Saccharomyces cerevisiae S288C: one gene and its partner. The protein of the gene in region 1 interacts with the protein of each later gene in a pairwise test. Each region holds a gene or a part of one and is shown on either strand. Other genes may lie near its edges.

Region 1 (5,414 bases):
GTTGCCGATTTGGTGGATGATCGCAGTAAATTGACTACATCAGATACAAATGTCTGCAAATGACTCTGCGACAATAATTGAGGAGCCAATGCCTCTATTATACCAAAAAGAGTGGGCTCTAGTTCCATATTGATTTTTCAGCTACAACTGAAATAGACTGTAATATATATTATGGTTATGCTTAGTATTCTGGCTCTTCTATTTCTTATATGCAGATGAAGCCATCAAATGAGTATATTTGTTTGTTTTGTTTAGTTTTGTTTACAAACGCGACGCATCAAAAATCGTTACCCGTATATATTATGATAATAGAAATCCAACAACGGTTGTCCTAGTATCCCACTTGTGATATGAAGATCCAATCATCACCATTGCGCGATCAAATAAACACTATTTAAGGGGTTTTCATGCTCCTCCATTGAAAACTATATAAACATAGGGAGGGATAGGAGATTGTTAATGACAATAACATCGCGCCCCGAGCCTCGGTATCCGTAAGTAGAGATTTAAATATTCAAATACTCGGATTCCTTGTTTAACAGATCTTGGCTGGAACTATTACGGTGTCCATATCCAAGGTCCTCCATAGATATTTCATAGTGTTGAAAATTGTAAAATTGAAGCAAGGCCCGGAGTGCAATTTCTTGACCACAAGCATCGCTCAACTCTCCTGATATATCCTTCCCTGTTACCCAATTATCAGTTAACTCCAGCTTTTCATAAAGGTAAACCCCCGATATCAATTCCATATGCTCGGATTTCCACCTCTTGTTTTTGAATGGTGTGAGTTCTCTTGTTATTTTCAATATTGGATGATACATGTCAAGGTTGAAGAGCCGATAATAGCGTTTAAATAGAATGCCGATGGAGAGGGGCAGCTCCTTTAACCTTTGTGTTTTATTCCCTGTGACTTTTCTCAAGATTCTTAACAGATATGCAAACGAAGGCATAATCTCCGTGTCGACCTCTCCTGAGTCATCTACTGAATAGGATTCACGATAAGACTCGTTAGAGAGAGAACACTCCTTCCAAAATGAATTCGGGGTTTGTACATATTTATTGAAAACCCTCTCTGGATAAACCTCAGAATATTTGCTTAAAATAGATGCGCATGTGTTGATGTATCGCGAATCGTGAATAACTACCGCCAAGTGTTCAAATTTCAAAATATGGCTTAACTTAAACCACTTCAATAACGCATGTAATATGCCCGCTGCTGACTTTAGGGACAATTCCTTAGCTCTCACGATCTCCAATTGGGGTGTCAGCATATTTAGAAGATTTTTATCGGAGACTTCACTTTTCCTATGAAAGTTATTTGTCAAGCTTGATTCCATTGTTTGCAGTAAGACAAAAACAAGAGAGTTAAAGCTCGAAAGGCAGCTCTTATAATATTTGTCAATTCGCTGCATAATGCAAATCGCACTTTTTTCCTCTTTTGAAGAGTTTGCATCATGATTAAGCGCGGCATAATCATATGGCTCATTTTCTAATTGCTGTTTCCAACCACGTTCAGTTATCATGAATAAGTCCCTTTCGTACCAAAGTTGTTTTGTACTCAGCTTAATTTCTAAACTCTCGCTTAATATTCTCGCTGCCTCTTCGGTACTGAATGGAATAACTATATCGTTATCAGGTTTTCTCTCTATATTTAAATCTATCCTATCTTCCAGAGTGTCATCTTCAGATCCTTCATTATCAGATGGATACAAACACGGATATGCCATGTTTGTTTGGAAAGATTTACGAGGTCTAGGACCTTCACCTAAATGCATTAATTGTGGAGAGCTTGGCGGTGAAGGAGCAGGTGTAGCAATATGTTTTTCAGGAACAATGAGCGCCATATTTAGAGGATTCTTTGATTTTGGACGAGGAATTTCCAGAAACTGGGAAAGAGATTCTGATTTGTCAACATCTTTAGGTAAGCCAGAACTGGGCATATTGTAATCAGGAAAACGGGAAGTAATGTCCTCCCTGAATGCTTGATAATGTAATGGGGAGATAGAAAGCTTTTCTGGATGCTTTGATGGATATGTTAAGCCATGGAGATTATAAATAGATGATTTGGTCTGTTTGTAGACAGAACTGTCACCAAATTGTAATACAATAAGCTTGAAGAGCAAAGAAATCATATTTCTTATGCGCATAGCTAATCTGCTATTCCACCTCCAATTTTCAATATACTTTGTTAAAAATTCCAACAAATCTGTTTTCTCAAAAGCGTCGATAACAACATTTACTGCTTCCGGATTTTCTCCTCTACCTTCTATACAAATACTGCATATGAAGTATAGGATTGTTGACGAATGAAATAGCAAAATTGTTTGTTTCTTTAAATTTCTGTTGTCATCCCTACAACTTATTGCAATCTTCTTGAAGGCATGAACAATTTCTTGAATATGAGGAACAAGCATTAAATTGTTGCGTCGTATAATCTTTGTATGCTCACTTTTGCTATTCGTAAACGCAAAGCATCCCATAGAAATATATGATAATGCGAGTAAATTAGATGCTAAAGAATTGGGGATGTCTTCAATTAAACATTCAACTACGCTCGCAGCATAGTTTTCATCATCAAAGAATAATTGTGGTTGCGTAATTTTCTGTTTAAACAGAGTCTGTGTCTGTCCAAAATGCATATAATCAGAGCTGCAAAACCATTCCGACAGTTCATCTTCCAAAGAATAAAACATCTTCAATTCCCAGTCCACTGCTCTTTGTAAAGCATAAGGTGCACTTGATCTTTCCTCAAGTGAAGCTGCGCACTGGTCAAGTGATTTCTGAAATTCTTTATCTACCGGCATATTATAATCAACTTCGCCCTTTTCATTGATAGGAACATGCTTGCCATCAGAAACCTTATTCAAATCAAAGCCATCCAGTTCATCTACATTAGCAAATGATTCATCCTCATTCTCCTCTTCAGCTTCTTCAGCATCGTCTTGAAATTCAACGGCGTTATCAGTATTATTATCTTTCTCATTATTTCTATCCTTATTAACGCCATCATCACTGAACTTAAAATTATCATTTTCATCACTACTATCTTGCTGTATATCTATGGTACGAATATCTCCCTCAAGACCTGATCTTGCCTTGAAGGTTAAGGCACTGATATTTCCATCTGATTTATTTCTTTTATCGGCATGAAAACTGTTTCTTCCCATGTTCAGTTTACCGCGCAACATGTTGTCCAAATCTTTTAGCAGTTCTTCGTTGCTCAATGTTCCGACCTGTGGTTCTTTATGTGAAGTGACTTCATCTTTGTACTTTAGATTGCCTTTGAAACTAGAGTTTCTCTTAAGATCTTCTAAAGACACAGACCTTATAATGGGGCCTTTGGAATGAGATCTTCCACTAGCATTCATTTTAGCGAGGCTTATAAATGAAAATTTGTCACTTAACCTTCTTCTTCGGCTATAAATACTAATAAAATTTCTCTACAATGCCTTTCAACCTACTCCTTGGTTCTCATATATTTCTTCCTGTTTCTAGAATGGCGTTTTGATTCATATAATTGACCGCTCCAAAAAATACCTGCCAGTAAATTAAAGTACCATACAAGAATATTGAAGAAAAGGAAAAGAATACATAATATAGAAAAAAGCCTACCAAAACAAACCAATTCACAATAAATATAACACTTTTAACTAAGTTTAACGAATGAATGGATTTGACGAAATGCATAAACCTATATAATTTCCCATTCCAATTTCAGTGCCTGAAATAATTTCAAGCCGTGAGTGCTGAGCTCCCCAAAACCGTCCAGCTCTTGCCAGCTTATGGTTGTCCCAAGCATTTCGTCTCTCTTTAACCTCTCTACTTGAAAGTAATCTGGCGAAGAATCGTCTTTAATTATGTGCATCAAAGTCTCAAGGTATATATTCAGCCAACAGCTGGCGCATGAAGTCCAAGATATTATGCTACTGGCGGCTTTGGACTTGCTGGTCCCCAGGGTAAATTCTATACGACAATCATTTTCCAGTGTTAAGTAGTCCCTACCAAAAATGAAGGTCATATTACCACCGCATTCATGCGCCATGATATCTGAATATACTACTTTTCGGGTTAGGAGGGCATTTCTATCATCGTTGTAGTGTTGAATCTTAGTAGTTACAATAGCAGACTCGGAAGTGATTAAGCTTGATGGGCGGAGGAACGTCATTTTAGCAAGCCTGAATTTAAATTTGAATTTTACCGCCTCATTAGAAATTCCTTCTTGGGCTGCTTTTTCATGGGTAATAAAAAACTCATGGTACCTTAAGTATCTTAATTGAGAGGGTATGGTGACGCCATTCGTCATACCATACTTGAATCTAGCCTGCATGAATATCAATCTTGCTTCTCCAAGAGGACACTGCAAGTATTTCATGAGGTATGCTACTGTTATCATACCAGATCGGCCTTTCCCCATTCGACAATGTAAAACAGCCACTCTATTCTTCGAAACGGACAGGTAATTTTCTATACCATCTACAATCTCTTCCAGCAGTTCAAATGGCGGTGGAAAATGATCTAGCCAACCGATCCTTTCACAAATTACATTATTGGTTTCTTCTTCGACCAAGGTCCTTGTTTCGAGATCAATGGGTGATATTGGTATCTTTCCATCATTAATCAGCGTCGAACGTAATTCTTGAATTTCAAAATCTTTGCTCTCAAACTTGGCAGCGATACCAATAAGATCATTATCTTTATAATCGCTGTCTTCTTTCTCACCTCTAAAATTAAAAATTCTAAAATTTCCCTTGCCATGGTACACTGTTAGAAACAATATTAAGTCATCCAAGCTATTCCTATAAAGCAGTTTTGGATACGTGTTTACCGGGTATGAGCAGACTATTAGATTAACTAAAATATATGATATATCTAATCTCAAACCTATATCGTTTTTAGTTTTTTTCATTGGTAAAGACAATATTTTCTTCATCAAGTTGACTGGTTTCCATTTAAGGAAGCCTTTTTCCATTTCTAATTCACTCCCCTCCTCTCTCATTTACACCAAAAAAATAATTTCAAAAATCGGGATGGTGTTATCAATATTGTGGTTCTGAAATTGTCTTATTTAAGTTATCTATCGAGGTACACATTCTTATTTTTATTGTTTTTACTTTTTTTTTTTTATACTTCTCATCGATTTTGTGGCGCTTTCCTAATCCTTACAAAGCTTTAGAATCTCTTGGCACACCCAGCTTAAAGGTTTCGCAATTGGAGTGTCATCATCATTTATGAACTCTTTTATATTCTTTGACTTCCTTGGGTCTAGTAAACCTTCTACGTCTCCATTAACAAATAACTGCGCATGATTTGCACGATAAGATTCATACACAAATTCGTCGAAATAATACGGCGGATCCACCCAGAAAGAATCCAAAGTCTGGTATCCTTTTCTGGAAGCCCTCCTTTTTTTTAGT
Region 2 (4,027 bases), on another chromosome or scaffold:
AGGCATGGGGCAAGATTGAAGGTATCTGCGTTGACGTTCACGTGGATAGATTGACCAAGCTTTGGAAATGGGTAGATGCGCAGAAATGCAAGACTCCAGATCAGACAAGAACTCAATTACAAAATTGGCTGCCTAAGGGGCTTTGGACAGAAATAAATGGGTTGCTGGTTGGATTTGGACAAATAATCACTAAATCGAGGAACCTTGGTGACATGTTACAATTCTTGCCACCGGATGATCCCAGAAGCTCCTTAGATTGGGATTTGCAGTCTCAATTGTACAAGGAAATCCAGCAAAATATCATGAGTTATCCAAAGTGGGTGAAATACCTGGAAGGAAAACGTGAACTGAACGTGGAGGCGGAAATCAATGTTAAACACGAGGAGAAAACAGTTGAAGAAACTATGGTCAAACTGGAAAATGATATTTCTGTTAAAGTAGAGGACTAAGTGTGGTAAAAAAAAAAAAAAAGAAAAGAAAAGAAAGCAGGCCTAGTTGTTAATATGTATACTTTTTATTCATTCAAGTGTACATATGTGTATGTATGTATATATTTGAACTAGTATCAATTTTTTAAAAGTTCTTGACATTCTGCCAAACTTTTCTTAGCGAAGTATTTTACATCAACATCTTCGTCTTGACACAGCGTTTGCAATGAGGGTAAAATTGTGTTCTTAATTAATGCATCATATTTGGCCTCGTCCTTAATTAAAACCTTCACTATCACAGCGTAGGATTTGGCCACATTAAACCTAATATTTGGAACACCGTCATCAGCCAAGTGAGAAATGAATGGTAATAGTTGCTCAGTAACGACATCTAACGATACCACGGGCACCAAAGTGGTTAGAGCAGAGAGTATTGTGAACCTCGAGACAAAATTTTCCAGTAATTGTAGATCAAATTTGAGCAGTCTTGAAATAATTTCATCACGACACCAATCAGAGCCAAATATTTCCGTTAACCTTTTTAAATTATTCACTGCGGCTTCTCTGATAGAATAAACAGTATCCCACAACCATGAAAGACATAAATCGCTTAACTGTTGGTCAAAAAATTGCATACCTAATTGTTCTGCCAAGATAGGTATGTACTCAATTATAGCCATTCTAACTCTCCAATTCACGTCCTTGGCTAATTCTGTTATGGCAGGTAACAAAGAGTCTGATAGCAGCTCAATTCCTATTACGTCATTGACAACCTTCAAGCTGGCAATGATATTTAAACGAACGTCAGGGAACTCATCTCTTAGCATATTCAGTAAAATCGGAAGAAAATTGTTAATGACTTGATCTTTATTCAACAGTAATACAATATTTGTAATCTTAGAAGCCAAAGCAGATCTCACTGTTTCACTTTCGTCCATACTCAAATTCTGCACAGCAGGTAAGATCTTATTCAATATAATTGAAGGATCATTTAGGAACTTGGCAAACCCAGAAACTTGTTTAGCCACAGCTTCCCTAACATCTCCCTCGTTGTCCTCACAAAGGTTCAAAAATGGTTGTACTAATTCATCGATATATGCTTGGTTGGAACTGAATTGCGAGGCTAAATCTGAAAATCTATCGGCAGCCATGTAACGTACCCTCCACGCTTCGTCACCAATTAATTTGACAGCAGAGTTCAATAAATCTTGAGTGTGAGACTCATCACCTTTAGCGTTAAAAAATTTCAAGATGGAAATTAAACAATCAACTGCCAGAAACTTGACAGAATCTTGATTATCGTTAATGATTTTCTGGAAAATGTTAGAAATGTAATCCCAATCTTCGTCTGTAGATAATCCCAAATTTTGAGTCAACAGATCGATCAAGATGGGCAGGTTTTTACCGACGGCCCTTTTCACCATTGGAGTATCATCTTGAGCGAGTTGTAAGTATAAAGCCAGGATATTCTTTCTCAATGAATCATCTTTGATTCTAACAATAACAGACTTGAAAAGACCACAAGCAGAAACTTTTGAAGAAAACCAATCTGCAGTAGCTAAATGTTCAATTAAAGGGACGAAGTCACTAAATAATTGTTCTTGAGAAAGTTCTTGGGCCACGTTATTCAGAGAATCTACGGCCTTTTCTCTAACCAAAGTTTCTTCTGCAGATGCCAAAATTTCCAAAACTGGTAATAGGATTGTGGCGTATTGAGGACCGCCAATGTAGGGGACAAATTTTCCTAACTGTTCGGCTAAAACGGCAAACACCTCATCTTCATCATCTTGTGCAACTTCCGTTAAAAAGGGAATCAACTCGTTTCTTGTTCTTTCGGGACCGAGTGCCAACGCGATGGTATCTAGTTTTTTCATGGCTTCTACCCTATTAGCAATATCATCATGTTTTAACTCATCCATAAGCAGAGCCAAGGGATATAATGACTCGTTAGAGTCTGAGTCCTTAGAGTTTGACGTTGTTGATGTTGTTGATGTTGTTGCTGCCGAGGGCACGGCACCTGCCGTTGTTGATCTTGCTCCAGACATATTTCGCTCCTTTCTGACCACTCAATTATTCTTCGATAATCAGATACCAGTTGTTATAGTCGTCGAAATAAGTTCCACGTTAGTATTGTTGCTATCTGCCTTCCTTCGTAACTTAGTTCCCTAACACTTTCTCCTGTTAACTCTTTCACCTTTTTCGCTTTCCCTGCAAAAAGGGCATTCCGGGTATTATCGTCTGTAGTGATTTAATAATGGTAATAAGCTCTTTGCATTAGGAAGAGAATAGCAGTAGTATTGATCAATAGTTCATGTGGTATCAGTATTTCTGCTTTTAAGGTATGGTTTACTATGTAATTTCAATATTTACCCTATCTTTGTTTTCTAAATATGTAAATTTTTTATATTTAAGTCTTGATTAACTGCTTTGGATGCTGTATTTTTATCATATTAACATTTTGATTAAAGAAAGAAAGTACATATTGATTTATTCATATTTAAATAGAGAAAACTACCAACTCATTACTGAAGAAAGTAAGAAGAACGACATACCAAGCATTGTTTCTACTGGATATTTTTTTGCATTTTCTTTTCCAATTACTAATGTCCTAGAATGATCATTAATCCTTCAAATAACCAACCATTTGTCGTTATTTATGTCGTCAATGGTGGGTCTCTTCGGTACGCAACGGTTCAAAATACTCTTGATTAACTCAATGCAATCTTCACTAACTTCCTCTGCATTATTGAATTTCAGGTCGCCTTCTAATATTTCATCTATATTGTAGAAGGGGTTTTCTTTGAAGACCACCGTATACAATAGAATACCAATAGCCCAAATATCCTGTGGTTGGCCCTCATAAGGGTTTCCTCCTAAGACTTCAGGGGCAGCATAATCTATTGTCCCAACAAAAACATCAAATGGTCCGCTTTTGACATACGCAGCAGATCCAAAATCAATAATCTTAACAAAGCCTTTAGAATCTACGATAACATTCTCATCCTTGATATCTCTGTGAACAATACCCTGGTCGTGTAGATGTTTTATTCCCGCTACAACCTGCTTGAATATCAATTTTGCTTCAAATTCGGTCATGTTGGTTTTAAATTCAATTAGATCGAAAAGATCTATACATCCTGTTTCACCATGTACGGGAGTTTCGATATAATAGTAATCGTCGTCTTCAAAAAAATCCAGTAACCGTAAAATATTCTCATGTGGTTTTTTGTTCAACGTGGCCATAATTTGGATCTCAGAAGGTATAGTGCCTAATTTCCTATCTCTAACCCATGTATCTACAAGGATTCTTTCTTTAAAAATCATCTTAATCACCACAATATACCTATTCTTCTTATGAATACATAGGTTGACCTTACCATATGCACCTTCACCCATTTTTTGCAGACTTACGAAGTCCGAAAACTTCTTAACATGCTTTTGAGCACCGATGTTCTTTTCGGGGGTGCGTAGGAAAGTACTAACAGGTTGGTTTCCTCGCTTGTTAGTCATTATGATTCCGTCTTCGTCTTTAGGTGATCCCGCTAATCCGTTTTCTGTAGCGTTTTCGTCAATTAGCTTTTCCTCTTCAAGTGGAGAAA

Evidence for each region. Proteins that work in one complex are often made in the same cells at the same time.
Region 2: the proteins of FAR11 (region 1) and TPD3 interact in binary tests that used the Saccharomyces cerevisiae proteins (3 or more experiments, as listed by UniProt).

Annotation. Positions count from the first base shown.
Region 1 is NC_001146.8:381,941-387,354, reverse strand, and holds FAR11 (Far11p), read right to left. Parts: upstream 3,369-5,414; coding exon 507-3,368; downstream 1-506. Other genes in the region: SPC98 (Spc98p), read right to left, coding at 1-128; TEP1 (putative phosphatidylinositol-3,4,5-trisphosphate 3-phosphatase), read right to left, coding at 3,692-4,996; NRK1 (ribosylnicotinamide kinase), read right to left, coding at 5,153-5,414. UniProt on the Saccharomyces cerevisiae protein: Participates in the control of the reentry into the cell cycle following pheromone treatment.
Region 2 is NC_001133.9:123,325-127,351, reverse strand, and holds TPD3 (protein phosphatase 2A structural subunit TPD3), read right to left. Parts: upstream 2,474-4,027; coding exon 566-2,473; downstream 1-565. Other genes in the region: bifunctional N-glycosylase/AP lyase NTG1, read left to right, coding at 1-449; serine/threonine protein kinase PSK1, read right to left, coding at 3,057-4,027. UniProt on the Saccharomyces cerevisiae protein: Phosphatase 2A affects a variety of biological processes in the cell such as transcription, cell cycle progression and cellular morphogenesis, and provides an initial identification of critical substrates for this phosphatase.